Linked DNA regions of Drosophila melanogaster. The protein of the gene in region 3 interacts with the protein of the main gene of each other region in a pairwise test. Each region holds a gene or a part of one and is shown on either strand. Other genes may lie near its edges.

What was found.
Region 1: the proteins of insb (region 3) and Acp32CD interact in a two-hybrid assay, tested with the Drosophila melanogaster proteins (one large-scale study listed by BioGRID).
Region 2: the proteins of insb (region 3) and CG13896 interact in a two-hybrid assay, tested with the Drosophila melanogaster proteins (one large-scale study listed by BioGRID).
Region 4: the proteins of insb (region 3) and CG43861 interact in a two-hybrid assay, tested with the Drosophila melanogaster proteins (one large-scale study listed by BioGRID).

What each region holds. Positions count from the first base shown.
Region 1 is NT_033779.5:11,012,500-11,020,140, reverse strand, and holds Acp32CD (accessory gland protein 32CD), read right to left. Parts: upstream 4,522-7,641; 5' UTR 4,497-4,521; coding exon 3,738-4,496; 3' UTR 3,718-3,737; intron 3,652-3,717; 3' UTR 3,570-3,651; downstream 1-3,569. Other genes in the region: CG14913 (uncharacterized protein), read right to left, coding at 1,402-1,717, 1,786-2,969; Samuel (SAM-motif ubiquitously expressed punctatedly localized protein), read left to right, coding at 5,489-5,941. UniProt on the Drosophila melanogaster protein: Responsible for physiological and behavioral changes in mated female flies.
Region 2 is NT_037436.4:707,241-714,879, forward strand, and holds CG13896 (uncharacterized protein), read right to left. Parts: upstream 4,611-7,639; 5' UTR 4,518-4,610; coding exon 4,505-4,517; exon of another isoform or gene 4,448-4,504; coding exon 3,702-4,447; 3' UTR 3,580-3,701; downstream 1-3,579. Other genes in the region: CG13895 (uncharacterized protein), read right to left, coding at 1-382, 439-459, 650-661; CkIIalpha-i3 (CKII-alpha subunit interactor-3), read right to left, coding at 1,470-1,688, 1,751-1,783, 1,840-1,914, 1,972-2,043, 2,093-2,254, 2,317-2,373, 2,498-3,007, 3,070-3,117.
Region 3 is NT_033778.4:17,471,963-17,479,654, forward strand, and holds insb (insensible), read right to left. Parts: upstream 4,311-7,692; 5' UTR 4,005-4,310; coding exon 3,474-4,004; 3' UTR 3,252-3,473; downstream 1-3,251. Other genes in the region: qkr54B (quaking related 54B), read left to right, coding at 1-113, 174-283.
Region 4 is NT_033779.5:20,012,532-20,021,705, reverse strand, and holds the start of CG43861 (uncharacterized protein), read left to right. Parts: upstream 1-4,423; 5' UTR 4,424-4,886; intron 4,887-9,174.

The DNA.
Region 1 (7,641 bases), on a different chromosome or scaffold from region 3:
AAATCAAAACGAAGCGAACTTTTGACGAATCATTCGACTACATATGCAAATTGATCTTGGACGTTCATTGATATCTAAACATCTGTCCATGGTCAACTTGGGTCACCAACGCTTCCGAGACAGAAAAAAACCACAGTCAGACACAAAAAGCCGAACTTGAACTATAAAGTTTAATTAGATTGAAAAGACCAAGAATTTGATTTTGATTTGGATTTTGGGTATTCGGTTTTGGGTGGAGTCGTAAGATGCGTATCTCAAGTGAACTCTTTGATTTCATGGCAAATATTTGCCAATTCTTGGACTTATGTATGTAAATATTCAATCAATTTGTTTGAATCTTTTGTGTCTGTCAAATAGATACGAGCTGCGAAAGCTATTAAAGTTCAGAGTTCTGTTTTTGCATTCATTTATATTACCGCTTGGTGTTTTGGCCAGCAAAAAATATGAGACTAAACTAGGTCTTCTAACGCTAGCAAAGTCTTTTGTTTGATGCAACCAAATGATTTGCATATTTCCATATTTTCCGCCCATTTTCCTTCTGGCCTGTGTTGTCTTAAATTGCCTTCAACCGAATGGAGACCTGGAGACCTGGAGTCCAATTACATTGCGTGTATGGATCTACAGATGGCCTCGGCCCCTTAGTTTTTGCTGCTTTTTTTGTTTCTGCCAAGGAGTTCAAAGTCAAGAGCCGAGAGCCTGAGAGACCCACAATTCAAATCTGTTTTTGGCCCGTATTGTTATGGCCAAGTTGTGCTCTTTTTTTTTTTTTTGTTGCTGGCTTTCTGGCCATTTCCTGGGCTCTAGTTAATGCCAACTTGTTGTTGCTGCTATTGTTGGCTCTGTCAATTATTGGCACAGAATTTAGAATGCACTTGGCTAACCATAACCATGACCACAGAGCCACCCAAATCAAAGCCTCTGCTCCTCCCGATTCCCCTCATATATATTTTTTTTTTGTATGTTGCTATACGTTGTCCGAGCAAAATTATGACAGAGTCTAAGAGCTGCCCATTGGAGTAAAAGCCACCAATTTCCGGTTGGCTCTTGGTCTTTGCCTCGTTTTTTAGCTCGTTTAGATTTCTTCTCTACCTTTTGACCAACGCTTTGTGGGAATACGGATACGGATAGAAATGAATACTTAATTTGAGAGGAAAGTTAGACAAGCTTATTAAAGTTAGAATATGCACTGTCACCTGCAAGATGTGATAACTAAGAGTTATAGTAATAGATAGATAGACAAAAACTAAAGTAAAACGCAAACAAACACACAACTTAGTCTTGTATTTATAAGCTTAATCTAATGAGTATAACTTAAACATTAATTTATATATTCGCTCTCTTGAGTAATGGAGATGACCCCTTCCTGGCTTATGACCCTATATCCAAAAACCCCTACTTACGCTACCTTCCCCTGTGCCGCTGTGCCTCCTCAATCCTCAGTCTGTCTATAGCTTCAAAGATCCTGGCTCGACGATCCAGCTCCTTTTGCACAGCCATCTTGTTGCGTTCCCATTCCAATTTTTGTTCTTTTTTATATGCCTTCGAATTTTTCTCTGTTTCATTTAAAATTTTAGTATTATAATTGTTGTTCGACCAGGGACGTCGTGTCGATATGGGATGATCGTAAAGAGCTGTGTTATTCGCGGGGAAAAGACTGGGTTTTATAAAAATTGCCACATAGCCGGGCTTGGATATGATGCGATCCTTGGGGAAAATACTGAAAAATATGATTTACTTGAATTAATTATTTGTTGTAAGTAAAGATCAAGATCTTCGAATCCTCACCAAAAGAATCCCTGGTACATATCCTGCACCGAATGGTGACCCCACCAGCTGCCAAGGACCTGCAAAGGACACGATCGATTGCGACCCGCATACGAACTCAATACCTTGCCGACGGATACAAAAAGCAATTCCGTCGTGTTGGCCTCCACCAATTCGGCTTTTCGCATCATGAAGAGATCATTGAAGGCCGATATGACCACATCATCGTACAGATTATAGACCAACTTGTTGTCCTTATCCTGGCCAAGGATCAACATGGCAGTGCGCATGGAGTTCATGATATGAGCCAGTGCCAAAAAATTGATATTCATGTCCTTGTAGTCCGCAGTTAGATAGCCCAAGAACCAGTGACGCATGTGAACACGAACTGGTAGCTCTATCCGCGTCATTAGCAACCAAGGACCTCCCCATTTGTTTTTGAATGTGCACAAGATCTTGGTGGGCAAACCCCTATCTCGTTCGAGCCTAATGCCAAATACCTCATGTAGATCCATATCCTCGCTACATGTGGCCTCTGGGTAATCGAAGAATGCGGATGGGTGTGGTGTTACTGGCTCCCAAGATCTTGAGGAAAAACTTTGAGTGTTTGAATCTGATGGTTCTTTTCCGATTCCTGGTAGATCTGTAAACTTCTCCTTGGGGCTTTCCGTGTAAATTTCTACAGTTGTCTTTTCTTTGTCAATAGCAGTGGCCATCGTGGATTCTGTGGTGATTTCATTGGGCATTTCAGGTGTTTCATATGTTGTGGCCTTTGTTTTTTTCATTGTTGTGGATTTGATCTGTTTAGTAGTAGACCACGTCATCGTCTCAGCCGAATCACTTAAGTCCTTATCTTCCACGCTTGGTTTCTTAGTTTCGCTCTTCTCCCGCGAGTGATGCTCTGAACTCAACTCAAGTGTTTCCATTATCTTGTCCTTTTTAGAGTTATGTTTGGACTCCAGTGAATGCTCCAATGAGCTGACCTCCAGAGTATCTCCCTCGTCTGAATGTTCTACCGAGCTGATCTTCACATTGTCCCCCTCAACGGGCTCTCTTGCTGTACCATTGAATCCAAGTTGTGGCGCACTTATTCTAGATGGTCCATAGTTGTTGAAAATAAAGCTCATGTAGTACGTCTGGCCCAGGACAATCCACGGCAGAGTTGTCCACAGGCAGGAGGTCAGCATGGTTACGTTCTTCAGCATCACCGGAACCGAAGTGACGGTTCCTATATGGTAACTGGGTTCCCTATATGCCCTCGCTCTGTTGACTCGTGACTAATCTTGTTAAAAGTGATGAAGATACTTATTTTTAATGTGATGACTGATTTGCCTGATTGCCATTAGATTCGACTTGGATACTTTGCCGGTGGCACCTTTAATTGATGTCACAGTTAAAAAAAAAATAGTATGTAATTTAAGTAGAAGCATTTTAAATTCTATGATTTATAATAATAAATGAAATACCTACAAGAAAACTCCGATTTTTTATAAAAAATTGACATATTCAATCATAATCTGAACGGATCCTGTGATCCTGTGTTGTATACAGATCCTCAGATTTTGAATTCGGTTGACCAGAACTGTCTTTAATATAATAATAATAATAATAATAATAATAATAATAATAATAATAATAATAATAATAATAATAATAATATAATATAATAACCCATTCGACTTGGCCTTACAAGCTTTCTATTAATGCAATCGATATGAAAGTACGTTTGCATTTGATTCAATATGGTTCTATTTAATCCCTTAACTTAATCCCTCCACTTGCTACTCATTAAAAAAAGCAGTCTTGGTATTAAAATTTTATTGGCATTTTAATGATAAAATCAATTGAAGTGTCTGCGTTCTTCCAAAGTCCCTCGAGCGAACCTGTCTGCCAAAAGTAAGGGCAAGGACAAAGTTAGGGCAGATCGTTTTTTCTCACGACCAAGACACTTACGGTCAGATCTCCCGGTTGTGTTACATCTCCTCGTAGTCATCTTCCTTGGCTCCAGTTTCGGGTCCATCTGGCACGTTGCCTGCCCGTTGAGCAGGCGCTTCGCTGGCCACTTCCTTGGCATCCTGGTTCTCCTGACTGCTCTCACGGGCTCCATTGTCCCGCTGATTGGAGCCGGCATTGCTGCCGGAATGTCCGTGGCTCTCGCTGCTCTCGTAAATGGACCGCACGTACCGCCCGCCAAAGCTGTCGTCGATGCTGATCTCGTAGCTACTGTGATGGCTGTGATCGGTGCGCTTCCCCTCCTGTCCGGCCTCCTCTTCCTTATCTTGTCGATCCTTGGCATCCTTGCTGTCGCTGTCATCGTTGTCATCGTCATGACCATTCGCTGGCGTGGCATCATTGCCTCCGCTCGAGTCTTTGGAGTCGCTCTTGCCATCGCTACCACCGCCGCTTTCCTTCTTACCAATGGCATCGCCATCGGTAGCCAAACTATTATCAGCAGATGTAGCGTGGTCGTCATTGGGGTTATCCGTCGCAGCACTACCGTCACCTTCTTGTGAATGAGGCGAATCCCCGGTTCCACCGCCGGGACCAGCGGCACCACCACCAGCACCACCACCGCCACCATCGACGCCGGTGCCTCCTTCGCCATCCGGATTATTGTTGTTGAAGGCAAAGTTCATGTAGTACTTCTGGCCCAGAGCGCCATGCTCCGGCAGTTGGCCGAGGGCCAGCAGGACCAGGTAGCCAGTGAGTAGCCGCATCCGCATCCGCCACATCGCTGCAACGCTGAGCTGCCCGGGCTGTCCGACCGTCCCTTATATATAGAGATGACCGCCGTTGCCCGGAATCGAATCGATTTGACTGTGGCCGTGGCTGCTCTTGCCCATTAAAAAGGGGCAGTCCGATAAAGGCGTGTCCAAAGCAGTGCCGCAACAAGGGGGGCATATGCTGGGGAACTGAAAAAACAGTGGCAGTTGTTAGTCCATGTTGCTGCAGTGCAGCAGCTGAAGCAACAGCAGCAGCTGCTGCGGAAACAGGTTGGCCCCCTGTTGAAGAGAGCTACGTGGAATTCAATCAGGGCCAATCTATAATAGAAATCTCATGTGGCGCGAGCTTCGTTTTGCCCAAAGGGGAGTTTGCAGCAGCACCACCAGCAGCAGCAGCAGCAGCAGCAGCAGGGGGCGTGGCAGTGGATATCAGCTCGGCGAAGGAAAAGGAGAATGAGGAGAGTGGGAGGAAAATGAGGTGCCCACTCTCAGCCCACTTTCGATCGATCGTGCGTTGCAAATATGAAAATGCTACTGCAGCGAGTGCGGCAGCCAAGTCAGGCAGCTTTGGCTAAAATCGTTTTTCATTAACAATTTTAAAAGCCGCGCATTAATCACAAGTTCACAGACACACACACACTCATAAAGAATACAGAATGCAATACAGGATGCCCTGTGCCCACGACTTATCGTGGATAGCACAGTGGATCAAAATAACAAAAATAACAAAGTTATTTTGATAAATATGCATACATAAGTATAAGTACATGACTAATCGTATGATAGCCAATATCTGATATTCAGATGATGTACTGATTAATTTATTTTAGTATTTTAAACAATGTAAAGATTTTAGAAGTATATTTAAAAAGGGAATTAAATGATACAGTCTATTTTTCCAACCACTAACCACTGTGCAAGTGGCCATGGCCACCATAAATCTACCGACTCTTCCGTAGACACCCCACTAATTCTTCTCTTTGGCTCTCTTCTCGTTGCAGTCGTTTCGTGATCAGTCCATCGATGGCACTGGCCTGCCGCTCTTAACCGAGGATCACCTGGTTAACTCGCTGGGCATGAAGCTGGGGCCGGCTCTCAAGCTGCGCTCCATATTGGCGAAGAAATTGGGCGGGCCGTGTCCGTGTGTTGCATGCGTTGCGCAGGCGCAACAAATGCTGGCACTGCAAACGGGTGGGGCAGCAGCAGCAACGGGAGCAACAGCAGGAGCAGGAACGGTTACGGGAGCGGTAGCGGGAGCGGGAGCAACATCGGCCACAACTAGTTGCAGCATCAAGTCGGAGATCTTCAATGGCGGCAGCAACGGTAGCAGCAGCGGCAGCAGCAGCAACCAGGGCAGCGATGTTGCAGCTCCGCCGGCGGCAACAGCCAGCTCGCCCAGCAGCAACATGTTGCTGCCAGTGTTGCCGTGCAGCGGACTGCAGGACGCCAGCTAGTTAGCAGCGATCCTGTCCACATACGTATTTATGCTAACTAAATTGCATTTCACCTGCTAAAATGCTGAACCAAATGAGCTTTCAACACAATTAAGAAAGGAATAAGAGAATAAAAAATAGACAGGCAGACAGGCGCCTCGGATTGGGAGAGAAATACCTATTGTATAAATTAAACGATAAATTTGTAATTTAATGGCTAGCTAAAGTTGTAAACTTTAAGTGAGAAACAACAATAATCGCAAAGTCTTCCATTTGCAAACACACACACACACGAACACACAAATCATAATTGTATAACATTAATCAATTTATTAGTCAATTTAATGAGAGAGTTTTCGTTTACGTACTTAAGTGCAAAGCGCAAATTTGCATTCATTTTATTTATTTCTATGACTTTTTTCGTTTTTAACTGCTAGTCAGTAAATGTATATTTAATAGAATTCCGAAATATGTGAAGCAAACTTAAAAATTCAATTTTATTGTTTTGCAAATCGAAGTAAAAGGCTATTTATTTTAATATATATATCCTACGATACGGCAGACTTGTTGGACCCGCCCCCATTGCTTTGTTCAAATTTTATTAATTTATATTTACTTTATCTGCGGCCATGCACAGAGGAATTCAAAATTCAACTTTTAGAACTATGCATCCTTTTAAGAGCTCCAAGACTTGAAACCAACACACATACACAACACTATACACGAGTTAAAAAAAAAAATTACAAGAAACCACACGAAACAAGCAAATAGAAAACGTAGTTTATAGCTCCCATTGTACATATTGTTTATTTAATTAGTTGTAAGTCATTTAGAAAGAGAGACAGAAAAACATGTTCTAACACCTAGGCCGTATGCAATGATGAACTTAAAGAAACAGAAGCATATTTCTACAAAATAGGCATGATGAGAATGAACTTGATTTATTTTATACATTTAATGAACTATAGCTATTTTTCACAAGCTGAAGCAAATAAATTATACCAGTTATCATACAAACCCAAACGCAACTCTCACTGCAAGTTGGTTGAATGTTGCACAGTGCAGATCGGTGGGCGGCGAATGCCTCCAACTGGGGCGTTATGGGCACGCGGCTGACCTCCGGAGCGCTCGATGCGTCGCGGGTCAAGCGGAACCGTTGCGCCAAAAGGCAACCAAGGATGGCTGCAAAACAATTAAAAGCACGCAGCGCACCTTCCAGCGTCTAATTACAAATTGGAGTCATTGAATTTATTAAAATCGGCCGCGTAAATTGTGCAGCAATGCACTTGAGACACGCAAACTGATATTGTGGGCCATCGCCGGTTGGCGCTTCTTGGCTCTCATTACTCGGTCATAACTCACTGCGCCTGTCCGGTTGGTTCAAGTATCCCTAGCCACTTGAAAACCCATAAAGCCAAGTCGGCTTCCTCTTGCAGAAACATAATTGCTCGACTTCTGTTCAGCAAACTCCTTTTTTATGAAGATCTAAAGCGGTTTGTATACATACTCCGTTGGAAGTAAGTACTTCTAGTTACTAGAATATAGTTAGCACCAAGCGTTAACCTTTCGCGGCCCTTCATGCCTACTTAAATATGCAATACAAGTTACAGCTGTACATATGTATGTATATTAACCTTAAACTAGATCCATAATTCTGGATGGATGGTCAGTGCAATTTTTTGAAAAAGCCAAAATGAAGACACATCCCATTCATTGCCTAA
Region 2 (7,639 bases), on a different chromosome or scaffold from region 3:
AACCATCGAGTTGCATGAGATCCCGGAACTCGATCGCACGGTTGCGGATCATCTCCTCGTTCACATCGCTGTGGAGGTAAAACTGGGCCCTCTGGATGTACTCGTACAGGCAGTGGCCCAGAAAGTTCAGCTTGCGCCGGCGCAGCTCGGCATCCTTATTGGCCGGCTGGCTGAGCCGATTGGTGGCCTTGTGGAACTCCAGGATGGCTTCCCGATTGGAGACTATGCTCTTGATTTGCTCCCAGCTGCAATTAAAGTTCCTCGCAATCTTACTGTACATGGGCACAATGTCGTACTGTCGGATGGCAGCCACACGCTCCTCCAAAGTCAGCACGTTCCGTATGCGATGCGATCCATTCGAGTTTTTGTGGGTGTCATCATTCTGAAATTGAATCATGGTTTATTTCTTTATAAAATCCGATTTCTAGGCTTAGTTACATGTATGTTATTGATACAGAACTCAAATTATCTGTATGCGTGTATATCATGAATGCCTTATACATATTTATGTATGTATATTTACAAAACATGCCCTCTTCTTATTCGCAAATGGGTCTCGCATATTTTAGCTCAGAGATAACAAATTTCAAAAGATTTTACTAAAACGAAGCATTGCACTCTCACTTACTCACTACGAAAGTATACTTACGTCAGAGTACATTTCCACTCCCGCTCTCACACTTTCAGGTTCTCCACTCTCTCTTAGCGTGCTCGCACTCCCAGTCTGGCCCCCCCTCCTCACGTGACCAATATAATTCTGTTCCTTTAACAATGAAATTAAAACGAAATAGTTATTATACAGAGAAGAGCTAGAAATCTTGTTTACATACCTCAGTCGGAAAGCTTAGAGCATAAAGTACACTTTGTTGAAAATATACAGCAGTTTTTTAGGCACATTAAACAGAAAATATGTGCGGTCGCACGTGTTTAAAGTTGCCAGAGCGAGTGCAACTCAATGACTGAGCATGCGGTCCGAACATTGCAGAGATCTGGACTCTCCTCCGTTTGGCGGAGCGGCAAAAACCGTATCTTTGCGAGAGACATTCCGCTCTTTCTCTCGCGATCTAAACCGACTTCCCACGTTCCGATTCCGATCGTGGTGGTATTCGTTCGCGGTATGGGATTTATTTTCGGATCGAGAGTAAATATTCTCTCGCTAAAGCAGCTATAACTGGTTTAACATGCCGAAAAACACAAATCGCATTACCACCTAATCTGAGCTGAAACTGGTTTGATATGTACACATACATATATATAAAGCTATTTTTGCTCAAATTATATCTAGTGCTTAATTTAACGTTTACCACATTTAAGTGGGACCCTGTTGGTTATTCCACTCTATAAACTCTTTTCGCATATTACAATTATTTACACATTTTGGGTCTTGACTCTCAAAGGCAGGACACACGAACATTTTAATTGTAGATTACATATAAAAACTAAACTTTATTTTTGTGGCGTCAATAAGATCATAGATCGAAATCCTCGTTCTGAGGCGGATTTAAAACTGATTTTTCAACTTCAGTAAGTAGTCCAATGGCCCGATAGTTATCATTTAACATGGCGTACTCCTGTAAGACCTTCACGTAGGCCAAGGCCATATTTTTACAGTCGATGGATTTCAGTGAATTTTGTAAGGAAGCGACTACTTTGGGGTCCACATCGTCTTGACTGGTCTCATTTTCCTCCTGTCATTGAGTCATTTATCGTTACGTTAGTTCTATTACAGTCCAAGGACCTGTTTACTTACCTCAACTGCTGCCGTGTCGTGAGATTCAACAGTCTAAAAAAAAACATTCCAAAATTAAACACATTTTTCAGGTTGAAGAAACAACTAACCTCCTTGATCTCATCTTTTAAGGTCGTTTCCTTTTCCAATGACCCAATTTCCTCTTCATCGGTAAATTCACCATGCTAAGAAAATTAATAATAAGTGCTAATGTTACTGTTGATCTACTTGTACACACCCACCTCTATCTCTATTTTAATTATAGCTTCTTCAGAATCCGTACGCACGCGTACTTCTAATTTTTTCGACTTCGCCTGCAATAATAGTATTAATTTATGTTGCGACTTTTCAATAGTGTCATACCATTATTGGCGTTTTGTTGGCTTTCTTATTTCCTGCCGCTTTTGCTTTTTCATCATCAGACCATTTTTTACACACCTTACAAAGTTTGGATGGACGATTCTTAGTCAGCTTTCTTAGGTATTCACACCTCTTACAGCCACTTTTAATTAGACCGCTTTGTTGCTAGGATTAGTTTTATATTTACTAGCATTTAACTTATCCTTTATATGTTTGGCTATACTCACCAAGCTTACAGCTTCCTTCCACTTGTTGGTTTTTGCATTTAACATATTTCTAGGTTTCTAAAAAAGCATATCGAGTTCAGTCGAAATTCGATCAGAATTCGATGAGAGTTTTCATGAAAACATGGATGGATATTGGAAGCGCAATGAAAATATGTATAAGTTCTTTTGTAACGGTTCTTACATTGATCAGCTTTGGTTTCTCAGTAAGTTGCTCAGTTTTGTCCATCTTGGCCTCCGTCAGCTGGACCAGGCGATCCCGCCACCTGCGGCAGATTCTCTTGGTCTTGCGCTGTTCCTGCACCAGTGAGATTGAGCTGCCCACTTGGAACTCGCGCTGTGTGGGATCGGTCTTTGCCTGGATTTTGTTCCTCATCTCCACCATTTGCTCTATGTATTGTTTGACCTTGATGATTTCGGCATCCTGCAGGCCAATCAGAATGTCCCTGTACTTCCCAATAAGTCCTTTGAAACGTATCACTTGCATGGCAAGCATCATGGACTGCGCCTTGTAGGACGTACGCTTCGAGTTATTCTTCTCCTTCTGGATGACAGTGCGCAGCTGATCGAGCTCGCCATAGGTATCATTAAGGTAGCGGATGGCATTACGAAGATTTGACTCCGCTGTGGCAAAGGCGGTAGCATCCGGTGGACGAAATCCTGGCGGGGCAGGACCCAGTGCAAATAACCGGGACTGCAAGTTGTCCGATAAATTGGATTCCTTTTCCATAAATTTAACAAAACTTAGACTTCCACAATATGCTTTTTTGTAGACTTCAGATTGGTATTGCCCATCCGATGCATTTAGGGTTGCAATTTCGAAGTTATCGATAAAGTTTGCTTCATTTGATCAATATTGCATAATACTATAACTTTTTATTAACTGTATTACATGTTTTCACGATACTAGTTAATTCTTTTCAATTATGTTTGAATTTTCTATTTTGTGCAACCGAAGGTCTTTTCTTGAACCTTTAGTGTCATATTGGTGCTGCCAGATTTTTCGGTTTTTGTCAATTTCCAAGACGAACTTGCTTACAGATCGGCGTTGATCTCGGCAGGATTCACTTTGTTACTCTTCAAAATACTAATAAGATTTCAGAAATGTTGGTTTTTCTTGTGAAATTCCTTTAGATTGTTGTAACTATAGGTTTTAGAAAACGGTATTGCCACAGCGCAATATTTTAGCCAATACCCAAGCCAGATTTGTTTAGAACCAGATTCATTTTTCAGTGGTGTTAGCAAGTGCATGAACCATATTTAAATAAAGTAAATTAAAGTATATATATTATAAAATATTAAAATCTTAAATATAGAGGTATAAATTAGGTATGTGCCTTATCTTATCTTTGCTTTTCCAGTAGATTACGTGCTTGTTTATAAGGACACTACGTTTGATCCACCTCGAAGTCCTTGATCTGGGCTGGATATTGAATGGCGTGCTCCACCTGTATTAGCAGTCCTATGGCCCTGAAATTATCATGGATCATGGCGTACTCCTGGAGCGCTCTTAGGTGTCTCAATGCCTCTTCGTCGTTGCTGATGGAGATCTCGGCCGCAGACTCTGACAAATCATTAGTATTGGGTTCGGCGGCATTAAAGACTGTAAACTGTTCCCCATCCCGCTGCCGATCCGTTTGCACTTCGTAGTCCTTCTGGATCTTGATATCGACATCATCCAATGGCTGCTTTCGTTTGCGATACGTACGCATTTGGCGGGGAATAACTGTGCTGACAGTGGTGCCCATAGACAGCATCCTGCCTTTCTGGATACCGGTCTCCAAACTGACCACCGCTTCATCGAAATCATTGATGGAAAGTTCCTGCGGCGGTGGGACAGGGTCATCCTTTAGAATTTCGGACATCTCGTCGTAGAACTGCCAGTTTGGATGGAAATGCGGTACCTTCGCCAGGAGCTTGCTCCTTATGCTATAGTAGGTCTTCTTCAGGTTCCTAAATTTTCGATCCAGCTGAACTGCATCGATATCTGTCATTCCCTGGCTTTCAAGGGCAACGACCATTTCCCCCCAAATGTCCTTGATCTTTTTTTTCGGATCCCGAAAATCAGCTTGGCGTTCATTGTAAAGGGACAATAAAAGTCGGGTGTTGGATGTACACCACTTCCTTTCGTAAGCTGGCTTATTGTGAGTATATATATAGTTTTCTTCTTGAATTTATGTTTTTTACTCACACTTTGTATCCATTGTTTACAATAGCTATTCAGTTGATGACGAATAAGTTTTGTTTCCCAGGCTGCCAGTTCTTTCGGACGGCGTAAGAGAAAGGTATCATGATCCAAACATATGTGTTTCGATTTTTCTCTATCGATAACTATCGAAAAGGTTGCACGAAACAAAGATGGGAATAGGCTTTCGTTTTTTGAAAATGGATTTTTTGCCTAATCTATATCAATACTCGCTACCGAAGAGAACATTTATTTTATATAAATACTCATCTTAGCCTCATTTAATTGCCATTATGTAGTTTTTGAATTTAAAAATCTCGCAGTAAGGATTTAGTGAGTACTTGCCGCAGGTTGAGACCTCCCGCAACTTAATTATAGAAAGTTAATATTGAAATGGACCTACATACATTACAAATAAGCACATAACTATTACTGTGCTGCCATCTACCGGCAATGCGACTTTCATTTACAGACGCTAGATGTCGCCCAAACAGTTCGTCGATAGGGGCGCAGTAGTATAAATGTAAAATAACCGGGTACCGTATACTCGAGTATACACAGTAAAAAAAAGTTTAATAAACCAATATTGATTTTTGTAGTAATAAATTTGTTAAGCAAATTATATAAGATTATCAGTGATTTCTATTATAATCTTTTATAAACTAATCTGTAAGTTTTAGGTAAGAAAAAAGTTAGTCAAAAAGGCTAAGTCCTATCGTGGACTATCTATGCCCAATTTTCCGTATCAACCCAATCGAGCGTCTCCTAAATTTAATTTCCGCCACAAATAAAAAGGGAATTTACATATGCACAATTGGCACTTTTTTTCTAGAAACACCTGCGCACCGAGGTGGATGTGTGAAAAACTTGGTTAGAATATCTCGAGAAGCGCACTTCCGTTTTGGCCTAGATAATAACCGTGAAGGGCTAACTCGGTAGTTCGTAAAGCAGTCAGTAGTTACAACCCCGGCATGTGACTTTTAACAATGTTTTGGTAGGGGGTTCAGCGGAGCGCAACCTCGTTTAAGGTGTGTGGACCGTCCCTACAGACGACCCTTACAAATAAAGGCCTGAAACCAGAGCCAAATAATTGTTGCGCAACTAGGCGAAGCCAGCTCACTGATTTTCCCATGAAGAGTTGGACCAAAACGCGATCAGTGGGGCATGCAATGTGGGAAAATAGACTCTCGAATATGATTGACAATGGTTCGGGGCCGCTTTGGACCCTATATATTTTGACGGTCTGCCCATGGCAATGGCTTCATTATTTTGAACAGCTCCCACAGTAATAAGGCTTTCGGGCCGACTGGTTGAAAATTGCACTTCGTGCAGGCGGATTTCAAATTCATTTCGCTTAAATGTGTGGCGCTGCCTTTGGGCCACAAATCCCCAAGTCGCACCGTGGAAGCCAAGGTGAGATCGTTAAACAACTGACTGGTGAGTTGTTCTTTTATGGCTTACATCTCACCCAAGCACTGAAAATAATCGGAATATAACTAAAATCTACGACATGGCTATAAAATATGCAGCTTCTTTCAGGATACTCATTTTTCTCTGTGTAAGTCCTAAGCCAAATCCAAATTATCCGAGGTCCACAGTAGACCAGATCGGTTCACTGGGAGTTCAATGCTCGCGCGGGTCACGACTTTGCCTCCATCGAGCAGACATAAATCGGAGCAGCCAACAACTTGATGCGGGGACTTTGACAGACTGCTCGAGATCTGCGATTTCCTTGGGATTCGGATTGAGATCCGGACCGAGATCGGGATCGGGATCGAGATCGGGACTGTGACTGTATGCATTTTGGGCCCAGGCATTTCAATCAATTGACGGAAGTCAGCTTTTTCGCCAGCGAAATGATCATGATGTATGTTATTGGCCCCGAATCCAGAGCCTACCCATTTGCTATTTGTCAAATTTTCATTAGATGGCCATAAATTGAAATCATGCGGCATTTGTTTTTGGTCAGCACACAAATAAATTTCGCACTGCCGCACCGATTCTCACGATCTGAGGACGAAATGATTGGATTATAGATAGATGAGGGGTAAGGCACTAAAACTTTCTAGCTATTCACACCAGCTGGTCTCTCGATCGACGTTTTGGTTTTGGTCTTGGCCAATCGCCACCTGCACTTGGTAGTTTGGCAGATCGGCCAGAGGCCTTACACTCGAAGAAAAACGAGCCTGTGTGCGACGAGCCTCTGTAGAATCACTGTGAAATAGCCTCTCTCTCTCTATTGTAATATATGAGTAAAGAATGTCACATTTTCTTAGAGTGCATTAGTTGGTGCCGGAGCAGGATCTGAGATGCTAGACCTGGTCCCCACACGTTCGAGTATGTTGCTTGGCTAAAAGCGAATTCCAGTTGCAAGCCCATTTTTGGCACGATCGCTGAGCACAAACCTTTTTTGGGAAGAAGCCGCCGCCACAAGGAGCATTGATTTGGAGTTGCATTTGGTTTTGGTATCGGTTATTGGGTATTGGGTATTGGTACTGCCAATTGCCAGAAGGCGGCCAGAACGCACACGTGGATACGGAATGGGCATGGTTATGTGCCCGCTCTATGGAGCATGGGATGTTGCTGAGGCTGGGGGCTTTCGTGGGGCTGTGTGGCATGTGTTGGGGGGAGTGGCAAGGGGAATGCGGGCAGTGAGAGTTCGCAGGTGTGTGCTGCCGTATGTATGTATCTTTGGCTTGGCTCGGATCGGATCGTGATTGCTGGCAGTTCGGCTCTGACTTGGACTTGGATTTGGATTTGGACTTGGACGTCGGGTATCCAGCTGCGAGAACGCACCCACTTGGCCAGCACACACACTCACCCGCACACACACCCACAATCAGCGGGTCCAGACGAGGCCAGCGGCAAAGATCGTGTTCATGCGGTGGCTTTATGACCACCACACCGGGAAAATAGGGGGTATACAAATGCAGAGTTTTCTGTGGTCCGTTTCAAATCAATTGATTAATGGACATTTCACCAACAGACAAAAAAAAAAAACATATTTAAATAATAAATGCGTGTTGTATAAGTGTAATGTTCAAAGGTATTAAATGAATGTTTGACAAAAGTGTATAGCCAGCATAAGTGCATAGATTGGAATGGGATGTTTGAGATTGATATTCGCTTGCTGTATCTCAG
Region 3 (7,692 bases):
CGGAGTGGGCGGCATCAGCGGTGGCGGTGGTCGGGGTGGGCACTACGAAAGCTCCGACTACGAGCCGGATTATGGAAGACGAGAATACTATCAGCATTCACCCGGCTATTCTGGTGAGTTACGGAGTGGTTACCTCTACAGACAGTATGTTACTTTTCGAGTCATCTCTTCAGCTGGCGGCGGCGGAGGTGTAGGTCTGGGCACTGGCGGCGCTTCTCAATCAAATGCCATCGGCGGCTCTGGTCTCAGTTCCAATCACAATCGCAGCCATGTTAACAGGTGAAATTTGCTGGACCCTAGTAGTGCCAGCGGAGGTCGAGGTACAAACCCGGCGGCAACCACCCAAAATTTGACCATGAAATCCCAACCCAATAGCAGCAACAACTTTTTGCCAAATCACGGAGCAAGTGAGTGCCAAAATGGCAAGAACATAAATCCCAACTACTACTACAATTCCAACGGCAGTTCCAAGGTGAGTACCCAACTGATAAACAGACTGATCCATAAAAATAATCCCAACTATCTTTTAGGTAAATCAGCAACAACTCCAACAGTCGCAACCAAATCTCCCACCGCAGCTATCAGGCCACAACAACAACAGCAGCAATGGCAGCCGGGCCAGCAATATGATTAACACCAGTAGCCACAATAATTGCAATAGCAACTTTCACCCAGTCGGTGAGAAAAACTCCAACGACGTTTCATTTATATCCTCCTATCGACTTGGTCCAATGGATGGCCAAAAGAGTGCCAACAGCAACAATATCAACAATCACACATTAGGCAGTAAAAACCACAGCAACAACACCACCACAACCGCTTCAGTGCCCAATATGCTCTTAGTAAGGTATTGAAATGCGATATTATCGAACGCAGAAGAGAACTCCTTCGTCCTTGCACACAACCCACACTAAATCGATGTCTTTGGACAATGCAAATGAATACACGGGCTTTATGTGAATCCGCTTGCTTGCTTCTAACATACATATACCTCTCCGCTTATCCGTCAAAGTTCCCGTATTGATTTGCATTGATCCGAAAACGCAAAAAAAACCCTTTCGATTATACACCGCAAATCAAAGACAAGAACATCTCTCTAAATCCAAATTAACATTCTCTTACAGACCTGCTAATCCTTCGCTACATATTGGCACATTTCCGTTCTTGCCCGTGCAGTTTTTCTGAACCCAACAGATACAAGAACTACAAGCAGAACAAGCAAATCGAAAAATCACATCAACATGAACATCACAGAAACTTTGTACACTTGAGTTCATAAGATTAGAGGAAGGCGTAGGAGGAGTATTTACAAAATGGACAAAATGAACTTTACGATATATACCACATACAAAACATATACATAACAAATATATTTATACATATATTTTTGCGTGCAAGGATTAACGTTTAATGATGATGAGGCTGGATCAACAAATCGAAAACCATACTTTCGCGTTGGCTATAAAACACAGACGAAACTGTGTCCAGTTTTTTATCTCTATTTACAAACCATCTTAAAGATACTAAAGAGCCTGAATGATTAGTGGGAGCTGTATTCGGTCGGGAGTGATCAGTAGTTAAGCACACGGCTCAGCTCAAAGTTGAGCTGGGATAGTCTGGCGTACAGATGATACAGAGCGAATCCAGTTGATACAGCAAGACAAAGCTATGTATAGGGAAAGAAGGACCCGACTGACGGTCGGTAGAGACAGAATCTATGAGATTAATTAACTTAATAGAATATAATAATAAATACAGAGGGCACACTTAAACCATAATTTTATTTATATATGCATATATTTAACAAAACTAACGATACAGATAAAGAATATATATATATACACTTACAAATTCTAATATTTACATAATTAACAGAGATCGACTAACCCCATGTTGACACGAAAGGTAACAGAATAACCCTAACAAAAATTATCTAATACTCGAGCATTCAGAATTAATATATCGAATACTAAAGAACTACAAATAACTAACAAATTACAAAATATATACAAGTTTATTGTGAAACAATGTCCATAAGTGGATAGTGCTGCAAATGATTACTTTATTAAAACACCAGATACGAAAACAATAACAGAGTAAAAAAGAATACTTAAACGCAAGCGTAAGCGTATGAATAACAAATACTCCATTTACTTATACACGAATATAAAGTTCTAACTAAACCAACAATGTAACTCAATACAAAATTAACGTAATAACAATGTAATTCAATGTACTTAACACATTTAACCCATGACGCTGGATAAAGCAAAGTAATTAACCCAAAATTTCGTTTCCTCAATTGTTCAAAAATGAGTCGTCTGCTTTGTCCAGTTGTCTCCATTAATTATACACTGAACTAACAAAAGTAACAAAACTAAACATAACTCGTAATCGACAATTTGATCCGTTGCCAAAACTCAAAATTTCGTTTCCTGTTTTCTCACTTTAGTTAGTTTTTAGATTAATGAGAATTCTCTGTAGAGCTTAAGTAGAACCAAGAGAGTGTGCCAAATGTTTGTAGGAAGGGATTCGGAGGGAGTGGATGGCAATGGACGGATCCCTTCCCGGTCTGAAATTACCAATTGAAATGCCAATTTATAGATATTATCATTTTTAATATTTATGTAACCTAATTTGAGTATCGAGCGAATAAAGTTGGCATTGCTAACGCAATGAAATAAACATATACTCGAATTCGAATAAGAAGATGAATAAAACGATATCTTGTCCAAAAACCTTAAGAAACATTTACTTACATACAACCATGTGAAACGTTAAATTGTTAAAAACAATTAAAATCTAGTTTTAATGAAATATCAGTAATACAGATAATACAAAGGAATTACAACCATTTATTACAAATAATTATCGTTGTTACAAATTATACAGATAACTAATATGAAATTATAACAAATGCTACTTTAGGGCGATTCCCCAAGCCCCCAGATAATTTATGATACCAAGTTAATGAAATAACCGAACAACAAAAACACCCCGCCCTAACAACAATAAGAATATATACACTTATATGATATACATACCTACAAAATGAATTCAAAGAAATAATATATGGCGATTGAGTTATTCTCATTAATTATTATATGTAAAATTAAATAACACAAGTAATAACTAAATGAATAAATAAATATATTTAAAATGTATCGAAAATCGATGTAGTAGAGTGTTTTTTTATTCCCAGCTAGGATGGAACCCCCCAATCTTAATTAAAACCTCTTCCTTTATGTTTTACTTTCAATATACATAATTTATTTCGTTGTTGCTTATGTGTTTTATATTGCTTTACAATAATTGACTAGAGTAAATAGCTTAGGAATACCCAGATCCCTGTGTTGCATAATTTCCACCCCCGGAAAGTTCGCAACCCTTGGTTTCTCTCTCTCGTTTTACTTGCAATGAGATCGCAGCAAAGTGACTAGAATGAGGAGGAGTTCCTGCCCTCCGGTTTGCTCTCAGGCGTGCAGAAGTCCATCGCTTTGCCCAACCAATTTCCCAAGGAGAGTCTGGTAGAGTGGCGACTCCGTGGGTATTCCCTCGCTCTGCAGAAACAGCAATGTTTCTCTGGCACACATGGCAAAACCCAGTGCCTCCGCCTGACTCCTTTGGGCTGGCGTCGGTGGCGCAAACTGGGCCGCCACCTCGGCATCCTCGTCACTTTCCTCAACATCCTCCGCTTCAGCTCCGGCAGCCGCATAGCCATCTCGATCGTTTAGATCCTGCTCAAAGGCATCCAGCTCCGCTTGCAGCTCCATTATTTTTTGCAGCGCTTCCAGAAGGATTCGATTGGGGGCATCTGGCGGGTTGGGGCAATTCTGCCCTGGCTCTTCTGCTGGTGGAGTTAGAGGACGATGGCGTTTCTCCGGAACCGCTTCAGTCGGTTGCTGCTCCTGTTGCTGTTCCTGCGGCTGGACACGTTGCTCCTGCGCCTGCTGCTGCTCCTCCTGGCTGGCTCGCTTGCGCTTCATGATCAGTTTGCCCGACATGCTTAGAGGATGATCTACTAGACTTAAGCTGCAATCGTTTGGTTTTCCAACTCGCTCCTGCGCGACACAACCTTCGTTCACCTGGCGATCGCCACGACTGAGCTGCGACCAACTGCACCCCGGCGACCAACTGGCAACTGCCGACTCCAACCCCAAAATGCGGCAGGGACCAGAGATAGTGGCATTAGGGGATGTGCCGCGCCAAGGAAATTAAAAACAACAATCCATCGGCAACCAAAAAAAAAAAAATTGTTGCAGCTGTTTGAGTTGCGGCAGCTGAAGCGGGAGGGCAACAGGATACTGGCTACAGGCCACAGCCTGAACGGCAGCAGCAGGATATTGCAACCCTCAGCTGGCGCTGCCTCTCTCTCTACCTCTCTCTCTCTCTCTCTCTATCTCTCTCTCTCTCTCTCTTTCTCTGCCGCTGCAGCAGCCGCGCTCCGAATATCCTCCCTTCCTCCGTGCATCCGTCCTGCACCCCATCCCCCCGGGATCACAGGCGCGCCCTGCTCGTCCTTTCCGACCTTTCAGTTGTTGTTGTCCCGTGTCCGTTTCCTTTCGGTGCGGCATAGCCGATTCCCAAGTTACCTTCCTATGTCCTTTTTTTTAATAGGGTTGCATTGAAGGGTGTGTGCGAAAATAAAGCATTTTAATCAAATTTTCTTTTTTTTACATTTTAAAGCAGACATAAATAAATTATCAATACCTTACAATCTTGGGTAATCAAGTTTTGAGCGTATAAATTTTCATGAATTTTTTTTGAATGTATAAGTTGTCAATTTAATGACGAATTAACTTAATTGCTACAAATAAACGAATCTGGACTTTTAATTCAGTTGATTTCAAATGAGTTTCGATCTGGTTTTAGCGAACAACGACCGATATATGTAATTGCTTAAATTGCTTTTCTTGGCAAAACGTGCACTGCTGACGCACTTAAAGAATAAGTTATTCAGGTTAGACAGTTAAGCTATTTAGGTAATATTTAACGTATCCGTTAAGCATTGTATTCTACCAATAAGCTACCTAAAATTTTGTTTGTGAACTTTGATCACTTGAACTTTGATCACGATGCTTCTTTACGAATATAGATTTTCGTATTTGCATACAAAATTCGTTTAATGTGCATATTTGTAGGAGATTCCCCAGTGCGGTATGCCCGACCATGATAAGCATTTGCAGCTGGCACGCTTCACATTCATCTCTTCGATCGGCACTTCCCCTGCGAGTTAGTTTGACCTGCCACTGCAATGATAAGTGCACACCTAAAAGCACTGCGAGAAATTTTCGAATTTCGTTGTCATGGAAATTGGTATGCGGTATGAGTTAGTTTGAACGAAATCACGTTTACCTCCGTTGGCATGGAGAACCAATTCTTATCGGCTTTATTGCCGATTGTTAACGTAGTAAAGGTGGAGTGGTCCCAAAATGCTAATCGATAATGCTGTCAAAATTTGGAATGAACATAATTCGCTTTATGGTTTATGTCCGCGCATTGTGTAATCATGACCATAATTTAAAATAAAGGGATTTATATTTTGGGTTTGTTGGAAGGGGGAAGGGGGGAGTGCTGAAATATAAGATGACACCATAAATGAAGAATCTCCTGTCCCAAGAAAAAAAAAAAGAAACAATCTCATTGATAGCAATAAATGTTTATTTATGGTCAAGGAAATTGGGCATTATTCGATTTATTTGGGGCTGCGAATTTGACACTATCTCAGCGAATTGTTGTTTCGCAATTTCGGAAGGGGCATTTAAATAATCACGCCCAGACGTCAAGTCTGTGAACTTATGATATGGATGGATTGGATATTTGCATTTAGTATGTCGGCAATGGTGTGTGTACACATTATTTACTTGATAAGCACTTGATGTTGTTAAGGGCGTATCAAAATTGAATCATATATATTATTTTTATCTCATTTTTATCGTACACTTGACATTGTGTAATATTGCGTGCTGGTTTTCCTCTCCCCATTTCAGTTAAACTTGGCCGAAGCATCTTCTATTTATTTTCGAACCAACTCAATTGCTGTTGTATCTTGTATCTTTCGGATATATTTAGGCGACATCTCGAGCAGGAAAGTTGTACCTTTCCCTTTCGTTTTTGAGTTATTTGCCCGAACACAGGCAGCAAATAGTAAATAGCAAATACATTATCCACAGCCGCAGCTGTCGTGTGTCTATTGAGCCATTATACATACTATATGATTGAACAGTTTGAGAAGCACGCGACAAGTGGCAGCGGATAATTTGGGGATGAACTGTGGCCCAAAACCCGGCAATTGTGATCATTTCGTGTGGGTAGAACTTCGCAGTAAACTCATAAAGTAATTTACGCGGCTGTTGAGTGAAATTCATCTTTCCAATATTTATCTATCCTTCCATTTTGGCGGCCATAAATCTGTGCAACAAGCAGGCCTCATTGTTCATCAATCGAATGTGCCTGAAAGTTCGCAGAAGACACTTGCTTGGAATTTTCGGGAAATTAATAACAAAGATCGGCTTACTCGGCACAATCGGCGGACTGTTGTTAATGGTGCGTCAATAAACATGTACAGTAAATACTCTAAATATAGGTAAGCAACCATGTTGCATATAATTTCGTGACAGTGAAAATGTTTTACTATGAAACAAAAGTGCAAATATTAATTACAGATATAGATATTCCAAAAATATCCTTTCGAATGCGTGATCTTTGATTCATGTGTTTAGATCACTTACAAGTAAATGCTGTTTGATGCTAGAGTTACGCCGAATGTAAATTCTCCGTAGCGAGCGTGCACTGTATATATTTTTTAGTACAATCCATATTTCGGCGTGGGAATGTCACGTTGTGTTTAGACAACTGTTGGGCCAACTACCTGCCTCTGTCTGAGTGGCTATGAGTCAGATAAATATATAGCCAATTCACCATTATCTGATCTATAACCGACGATTATCGCGCGATATGTCTGCTTCCGATGGCTTCCAAAACATCGAAATACAATGGGGTAATGCAGAAAGAGCATCGCATTGTCATTCTCAGCCAATTTAACCCGCAATCGCAATACGAGGCCTTATCGTAATCAGTCCGCTTCGCGAGGCAGTAAATTTCGGTTTTGCTGTTTAAGGTACTCGGCTTTATGTTTTCGGCTAATAACGGTTCTCGCACTCTCAGCCAATTTGGTGGGTCAGTCAGTTAGCCCGCGGACCGTGCGACGAGTGCATGTGAGTAGCGATCGTTGGTATTTGGTAATTCGTTGCTTCTGAAGTAACATCGATCGGGCCTTTTTGAGCCGAGTTAGCTTTTAGGCCAATGCCATGAGCAAGCTGAAGTTCGAGCTCGTTTCCGAGTTCAATCGAAAACCAGTTGACCGAGTGAAGTGGACCGCGATGGCAGAAATTTGTCGAGCAGAATGTGCTGGGGATTTGTGTGTTTTTTTTTTGCACACGCAAAGTGATAAGCGGCGATTAGATTTAAAACACCCAATAAACTATAAATTGCGATTTCTGCGCGCTCGTGATTGATAAATATTTGCCTCTCAGCAGTGGATTGGTGATAAGGTCGAAAAGGACCTTCAACAGTCTAAGTAGAAAATCTGGTTAACAACGTTTGAAGTGTTTCCATTACATGTGTAAAACCATTCGGATAAGAAAACGAACTAATACTTAAAACACGCTTCATTAAGTGGCAGTGCATTAA
Region 4 (9,174 bases), on a different chromosome or scaffold from region 3:
ACGTGGAAATGGCATTATGAGTTATGTGTCTGTGGTTCCGCTGAGGATGGCTTAATTTCTCGTCATCGTCGTCGTCATCGACCCCGCGAAATTTCTCCCACAGTGCCACACAGTTCAATTAACATAATTAATGTGCTCAGCCCAACTGCACTCGTCTTGCCATGACTCGACTCATTGAAACTCGGTGGAATATTTTCGGATCTGTTTACGCATTGTTATAGCTCAATTCGAGTTGCCTGCACCTCTGACACCTGTCTTAATGAACAATTAACTGGAATCGCTTTTTAAGCCGTTCGCTTCACCTATAAACAAGCAAACATATATAGTTCATTTGGGTTTCTAGCCGAGGGGTAATTGTTTGGCCACCTACTTAATGGTTTGCATGTAATAATATTTTCGAATTAACCAAATGTAATCATGGCTAACTTTTGTTCCTCACATATTCTCATAGTTTCGAAGTGGTGGCTTCCGTTTCGAGCTTCTGTGCTTTTATTACATATCAAATTGTTTTCATAAGGCCATGAGAATTATTAAATAGCATGTTGATATTTGTGGCCCAGCCCTTCCGCCCAGTTCACTTAAAATAAATATAATGAATACACCATCCAATAGCGATTAAACTCAGTAAATATTGCAAAATGGCATCTGTAAACATGAATACGTTAGCGTAAATCCTTCAATATTTCATTTTATTGTTGCAAAGTAATTTCTTCGTTCACTTGGCAATCAGCTAGCCATTTACTATTCTTAAACTTTTCAAAAGATTAAACGAATTTTTTGTTGTTCGAAAAGTTTGAATCACTTTAAGCAGTCAGGACCACAGCTAATGCATGTTATAAAGTTTTACTTTCCAGATGCTTGTGAAGTTTTATGACGGCATTTCGAGCTCATAGTCAGGACTCTGAGGAGTGACAGTTGAGCATGTTTAGCTGCCGTTAGGTGGGCATATTAAATGACTCCTGGCGGGTTAATAATCTCGTCCATGCCCGGGCCATTTGGCAGTTTTGGATATCATCTTTTTCGGGAAGGGTGGTCCCCTTCAAAGCCCCTCCCCCCCACCGCCCCTTTTCCACAACAAGTGCACTCGAGAAACAATTTCAGATTGCACTCAAAGTTAAATGGGCGCCCAGAAAGGTGACGATGGGCTTAAGCAGCCGAGCGGACATGTGTGAAATATGATATGCTCATTAGGGCTCTTGGCCTGTCTTTTTCCATCCAGCCACCCGGCTGCCACGCCCCTTTCGCCCCGAAACGACCCGGCCCGCCCAAGTCGCCACGCAAGTCAAGTGCATAAATAAACGACTGGCTGCCTCTTAATGAGAAAGATGACGAGGGTGATGCGGCGTACACCTGCCGCCCGTCTGCGTTTGTGATATATCATCCGGCTGCCGGTACGCAGCCAAGGACACCTGACAGTTCCACCTCATCCTCCCACCCCCATCTAGCCACCCAGCCAGCCACCCATCCGGCCACCCATCCTGCCACCCACCCAACCACAGGCTTGAGTGAGAAATGTAAAGCAGTGGGACAGCGGGAATCTGCATCTCAGTCAACTGGTTTTCACGGCTCGTTCCCGATGGCAGACCTTTTGGATTCTGCCCAGGGAATCCTTGGATGTTTATGTTCGTTTAAGAAGACAACTTGTTGCTAAACAAATTCTTAGCTGGCAACGATTTTAAATGAATGGTTGGGTCTACAAATGGTTTGTATGATATATCCACATCCACACAGACCAACCACATTCACAGCTATAAAATCCATAAATAGCTCAAGAGCTATTATCAAACCACTTTCATGTACGCTCACTTCACAAGAGTATATCAATCCCAATGAATCCCACTTGAGTTGGCGATTCTGGTTTTCACTTCGGTCGGTCTTAGTAAGATTGTTGTTACAGTGCGTGGTCAATCGGCATAATAAATCATTATAACGCCCACCGAAGCCAAAACTCCGATCACCGATTAAGTCATCATCAGCACAGGGCCAGAAGACCGAAAGGAAATTAAGTGGACTCAGCGACATGGCCAAGATCGGCGGTGGAAACAATGCGTCGTCGTCATTACTGGCGTGCCCAAAACTCGCCTTGGGGTCAGGGTCGGGTTTGGACCTGGGTTCGGGATCGGTTTCTCGACTTCTTCGGCTTGACGGGGTCCATTGACGCCAGCCGAGCGCCGTTGGCGGGGCTCACTTAAAAACTAATAGAGATTTAATCTGTTTGACTTGCCAATGAAGTCATTTAGAATGTAAATATTGCGACGAGTACAGATGGCTAAAGCAGCGTTCTCAAATGGAGCGTTCCGAGTGTGCAAAGCCTGTTTTAAGCTGAATGGAAGATAGTCTTATCCATAAGGAAGATACTTCTAATCTATTTACTTTTCTACTAACATTGTGACTTAATATGAGGTTAGACAGGAAAACTCAATAGAAACTTGGGTTCATTGGCTACAAGATTGGGTTTCGTCACCTCACAAGACGATATACCTGTTATTATCCCCACTTCCTGGCTTGCAGTTCTTTTCTAACACCGATTGCATCAAAGTCCTCCTCCGCTCAAGTGGATTATGTTTCTTTTTGCATCTTGCAACTACTACTACTACTATTACTACTACTATCGCCTGTCCTGAGGCACCTGTTGAACCCACACCGATGGCCATATTATTTACCTACATCTCAATCTCAACCATAATCACAATATTTACACCTTTCTCCGTCGCTCTTTCGATGCTGGCTTCCGCTCCTCGATGGAGGAAACAGTGTTACACAAATGCAAATCAATTGTAAATACAAATAGAAAACCTGGCCGAAAGCAGTGGAGCAAAAGGTAACATTTACTATAAATAACAAAACACCGTTAGCCTGAGGAAATCTTCGCCAAAGTTGGAGTAGTAGATACACCTGAAAACTGCATACAATCGATGTAAAAATTTTATATATAAAATTTCTCGATGCTATACAAATGAAATATAATTTGGTAAGTGTCCTCAAGTTTTGAGTAAACTGTGGCTGAAAATGCACTTCTACTTGTTTACCTAAAATGTTGCCAAATAGTTAGTTGCACAGTTTTTCTTTCGGTATTGCGACTGCAACTAGAAGCCTTGCGTTTTCTTGCCCTGGTGTGAATTTATTGCTTAATCATGCGACTTTAAAACGGCACGGCTGGCAGGTAAAGGCAGCTGGGTTTTGGATTCGGTTTTAACAAGGTGAGTGCTTGTCCAACTGGACGCGCTCCGTTTTATTTTCTGGCCATATTCTACGGCATCTTGCCGGTAGAAGAACGAAGTTCATTTGTGACTGCAGCTCAGTGTCGTTTGTTTTATTCGCCGAGTGGATGATGAATATATAATATAGATAGATAGATATATAGATAGATATATAGATGGTTAGATAGATAGGTAGATAGATAGATAGATAGATGGTAAGATAGATAGATAGATAGATAGATAGGTAGATAGATAGGTAGATAGATAGATAGATAGATGGATAGATAGATAGGTAAATAGATAGATATATATAGATAGATAGATATATAAATAGATAGATAGATAGACAGATAGATAGATATACAGATAGATATAAAGATAGATAGATAGATAGATCAACCGATAGATATATGTTAGATAGATAGATAGTTTGATTGCAACCTGCCAGCATGTTCGATTCTGGGCTGGCATGTTGAAGTTCGATTCGAACAAGCTGGTGTTTGAGTCCAACAATCTTGGGCTTAAATTCTTCTTAAAGTATAAAATAACAATTCCCTTAAAATTGAGATTTAGAGTTTTACTTTTGAGTTCTGGCTAAACTTATTTTTATTAGATAAACAACAATCCTACTTCTCGAACCCTTGCTTCTGCCTCTGCGGTCATTTTCGTGACCAGATTCGGAATTGTGAATAGTTAGGTTGTGAGCTCTTCTAGAACAGCTGATATGCAAATATGATAGAGGTTAGAATTGACCATGTTTTGATTATTTATAAATCAAATCAAGTATTAATAATATCATGTGATGATGAATTTTGTCGATTTAAAAAATGTGAAAGTTTTTGTTAGGTATGTAAATAGCAAACTAATAACAGAGGGAAATTTAGTTCCGTGTAAATCTTTCGACAGAGAGTCTTAGAACAGGATGTCTTGGAAACTAAAAGACGTGAGAATTAAGAACAATGCTAAATAATTTTAAATGAAATATATCCATTAAATATTTCTTATTAATGAGATATTTAAATAAGGATTTCTTTACACAGTTCAGTATTTTACATCGAATTTGAATATCACTCATACGCCTGTGTTAAAAATTATATTTTCACCTGGTTAGGAAGGAGAAAAACTGAACGGAGGCAAGGCAACATGTTCGAATCGAACTCGCGATGCTTTCGCGCGGGTAACTAACTGCGAACATAAAGCTCACCACTCAGTCTAAAAACGAGTTTCAACGCGTTCGGCTGCCGACCCGCTCGATTTTTGAATTCATTTTTTGGCCAGGCCCACTGAAAAAAAAAAGAGAAAAAACCAATCGAAAACAAAGCCTCATTGCGCCCCATTAGGCAAATGCTAAATTAGTCCGTTGTGTAAAGGTGTAAAGCATTATTTTGTCGAAATTCGCCTGCCGCAACAAACCCCATTTGCTTGTGTTGGTTTAAGCCCAATTGTTTGGCCAAAGTACCGCGGAGTTTTGTAAAAATATTTCTGGAAAATCTTCCCCAAAGTGCAGTGATTGTGTTTGTGTGCTCGTATCGTTTGTAGAACGGTAACAGGTAAAACAACATCAACAATCCGAGTCCGAACGAGCGGCCGATGTCGGTGAATATAACCATTAAAATGAAGTTAAAGTCGCTCCCGAGCTGCATACAAATGCTGCTGTAAATAAGTCTAAACAAACACTTGCATTTGGTGAGTTTCAATTGCCTCAATGGGCTTTTTTTTTGGGTCTGAGGTCGGGGGTGTTGGCCACATGTGGAATAAATCATAATTAGTGGGGCTTAAGTCTCGAATTGGGTTATGGGTACAACGGAAACTTAAGTGTGGGAATCAGTGCTAGTTGTCTTTATTTGTGAAACTATTTCGAACTGCGTTAATTGTGGCCCAGTGGTTGCCGTGTATACTTATCGCATTAGCGCGCTCAAGGAGCTGGAAATAATAGATACGCTAATAGATACATATGTGGTTTTAAAATTGGAGTAGATATAAGAAATCAAAATAAATATTCAAGCTACTTTTTCGCTTTACCTTGCTTAACAGGTACTTTAAATTGTGTTTTGATTTTAATCAGATACATTTCTGACCATCTGCAAGTTTATACTAATCCAAAACTATATCTATATAACTATATAACTCCACACCAACTTTTCCCTTCACTTTGTGAACACATTTTTCGGGATTACATTCTAAACAGAATTTCCGTTAGTATGAACCAAAATGTAGCTACTTAGTTTTCCGTTTTATTTGTTTCATTTTCTACTGCTCTCTGACAATTTTTGTCGCGAAAAAGTTTTTGGGATAGAAAGTTTATATTGTGAGCTAATTTGAGTTTGCATGGATAAAAGGGTAGAATTACGTTATATTTGTAAGTGTACATTTGGCCATGTGAAGCCATTTACCAATTCCAGGTAGTACACATTGTAGTCTTGTTTAAGCCGTTAACTCTGGGCGGACTTGAGTTCCTTGACTCTCGGTACTGTTCTGAATTATATGGAAGCAACCCGCAAATTTTCAGTGCTTGTGGAAATTATTTTCCGACAGTTGCTAATAAACCTGCCTACTTCATGGGCACAGCTCGCAACGGTCATTACTCATGCCAAATCTTCTGTCACTTCACACCTTCTCCGTCTAATTCTACGGTCAACTTGTCAACACGATGTGAAGTGGGGTCTGTGTGCGTGAGAGCTCTTAAGCCTTATGCAACAGCTCAAATTAGCCATGCAATTTGTACTTAACTATTTGCAGCGTCTTGTTGCAAGTTGGGGTCTTGGGGAATCGAAATGGAGGCTGGCGACTGGGGGCTGGTGACTGGAGAATGGAGAATGGAGAATGGGGTAATGGCTTCCACAGGGCACTCGCTGCAGAGGCGGGAATAATAAAATGTCCAAGGACTTGGAGCGGACAAGCGACAAGTTTATCACTTGTTAAGCCAAACGCTGCAGACATGCAGCCGGCTTCATCCTGCACCATTCCTACCCAGACGCCCAGTCCTACTCCTATTCCTACTGCATCCGAGCACCCCGCTCCGGGAATCCAACTCTAGACAACGTCGGCGTCGAGTGGCAGGCCCAGATGGGCGCGGCAGATAAGGAACTGGGCCCAGACCCAAAAGAGCAGGCCAAGAATAGGGCGTTCTGGGTCCGATCCTATTTGCATGCCACTCGCTTGAAGTGGGCCACACTCGGTCCGGATGAAAGCGGATATCAGAATACACAGAGACAAGATGTGAAGCGTTTGTAATCCAAATCCATTTACTCATCCGATCTTAAGTCCTCCAGGGAGGAGGTAGGTGTACTTTAAATCCTAATCTGAGTTTGGCCTCATACAGTCAAAATGTATATAAGATAAAACAAGAAAAACATGCATTTTAGTGCAATATATGTTGGATAGTTTGCGAATACTGGCGTTCGTCACCAAAGTTTCCTGATTTATTTTCTGTGCACGATTGGATGAGACAAAGGAAACATATAAAAAACATTTATTATTAATTGGTGCGTGCTAGTATTTATAAACCTGCTTTACAATTTCATGTAAATTATTTCTTTTATTCGTAAAAAGCTAGCCATATTGCATTAAAATACATCCGAATTTTTTTGTTGCTCTACAAACAACTACAAAATAGTTAATAATATCTTTAGACTGCAATCACTGTTTGGAATAAAGTTTTGCCATCTATAAGCCATCAGGCAAATCGTTTGCTATTATATTCATAATCCCAATCTAAAGCCAATTGGATGCCATTTTTGAGTATCCTTAGGCAGCTGGGACTTAAAGTTGAGTCTAACGATATGGTCCCGACCTTTTCGGGAGTTCCTCGAAATGGGATATCATCCACAGCCCGTCGCCCAAAACGGAGGCTTTCGCAGACGCAGCTGCTCCTCTTTCATTTGGGCCATTTAAATAATGGCTGCAAATGGCTGGGTGACAATAAAGAAGACCGGCAGCCACCACAAGTGAAGTTACCCAACAAAGCAGACTTCGGCTATAAATAGTTGAGAAAAAGTCAGGAAACGAATGTCAACTGAAAAATTACGTATACGCAGACATCGATGCTCATCGATAGTGAGACATGGGCTCGCTTTCGTTTCCGCTGTTGAGTCGAGCGTGTTGACTTTTCATTTTCCAATTTTTATTTAAATTTTTGTCTGTCGAACGGCGTCACTCTTGTTTATGACCATTTAATTGACACGCTACCTGGCAGTCGAAGCTCTTCTGGGAATATTTCCATTTATTGAGGCCATGGGACATAATTGATTATGAACTGGGGAAATTGTGCCAGTCAATAAAGAAAATCGCACTGTCAAGATCGAGGAGACAGCAGCTTTAAATGTGTGCACATGTCTGGTTAGCATTTTGGAAAATTGTGTATCAATGTCACTCAAGTGCAGCGTCCTTCGACTTCGAAATTTGATCCCTTTCTAATTAAAATATCTGTCCTTAAATATCAAACACAATGCAAATATTATGAATGTGCAAATATGTCAACGAATTATCCGTCAGATTGTCAGTAAGGAAATCTAGGAAGTCATTCTAAATGAAATGTTACACTGGAAAACAATATTCGAGGAATCGAAGATATGCATTCAAAAATAGCATGTAAAGCAATAATTCAAGTTATCATTTAATTTTATAATTTTCAGCAATATATAGATTTATTTTCTAAGTGCACCAAACGAGCCATTAGAAGGTAAGCAATCAGTTAATCTACCTCACAACTCAAGAGCTACAATTGAAATCCTCTATTAAATCAGCTCTCCACTCACAAGAGCACTTTGTAATTAACTCTTACAAATCTATTAGAATAAACTTTCCCAAGAAGCTCGACCAATTAGTATTATTAAAGTGTTGTGCTGTTCGCAGGCAAGAGTCCCTCCATTTAGCCAGGCCAAAAGAACAGGTGGCTAAACAATGCTAGTCACTCCTTTGGATCTGCCCGAGGTCGTCACTTTGATTTGCACAAGGTATTTGCAGGGAGCAGCAACAATGGCATTGCTTTTACGCAACTTTAATTAGCAGGACAAACAAGCTGTTCTGACACGCCAGGAGGTAATACCTTTGACTACACGCCCACCCACCCCTCTCGTCCTTTGGATGGCGTTTTTCCCTGGCAACCGGACAACCGTTGACAAACGGAAGGTAGCGGGAGAAATGGCGGGGTTGTTGTGGCACCCAAAATATGCTAAACACAAAGTCAGAGTTGAAATTTAATTAAAATGTTGCTGGCAAAAGCATTGAACTGTGGATATGCAAAATGCTCGCTTTCAGGGCCCATGCTGCGTATGCGCAATTTTTTGCCTATTACCAGCAATTAATGCGGCTATCTTCTTAGGCAGCCTGCTAATTGAATTTTTGGTTGTCCCAAGGGCTTCTTTGAGTTTGGCAGTCGCTGACCCTTTTGTTTTTCCTCTCGCACGTGTCCTGCAAAATTGATAAGCCATAAATATTCGTTATGCCTAAAAGCAACAGTTTGGCCACACAGCATAAACATAAAAGGGATGCCAATGCCCCCAAAAACCTTCTTTTCAGCTTGAATTCTATCCCTTTTCTCTCAAACAAAATGCCCAACAAAGAGCACGAAAAGTTTTGTTCTTGCAAGATTCCATGTTATGCTTCATTAACTTAATGCTGTTTTCACAATAAATTTTCATTCTTTCCATTTCGGCGCTAACAAAGAGCATTTCAAACACGCTTATGCTAATCCCAAGGAATTTCCATTTCGATTTTTCCCCTATATCTCGATGGCTTCCTGGTTCTCCTGTTGTTGATTTCGCAGATAGTGTGCATAATTTGGAAGTTTTCTTCCTTTTTTATAGCAGGACTGCAACTGGCTTAGATAACCATAAATGTTGCACGAGTGTTGAGGATGCCGAAAAATGATTTATTTTGCATGTACCCAACACTGCGGAGTTAACCCTTTTTAATAACAAATGCCTCTGGTGGCTCAAGGGGGTCCCCTCGTTTCTGGGTCCGCTTGAGTGAC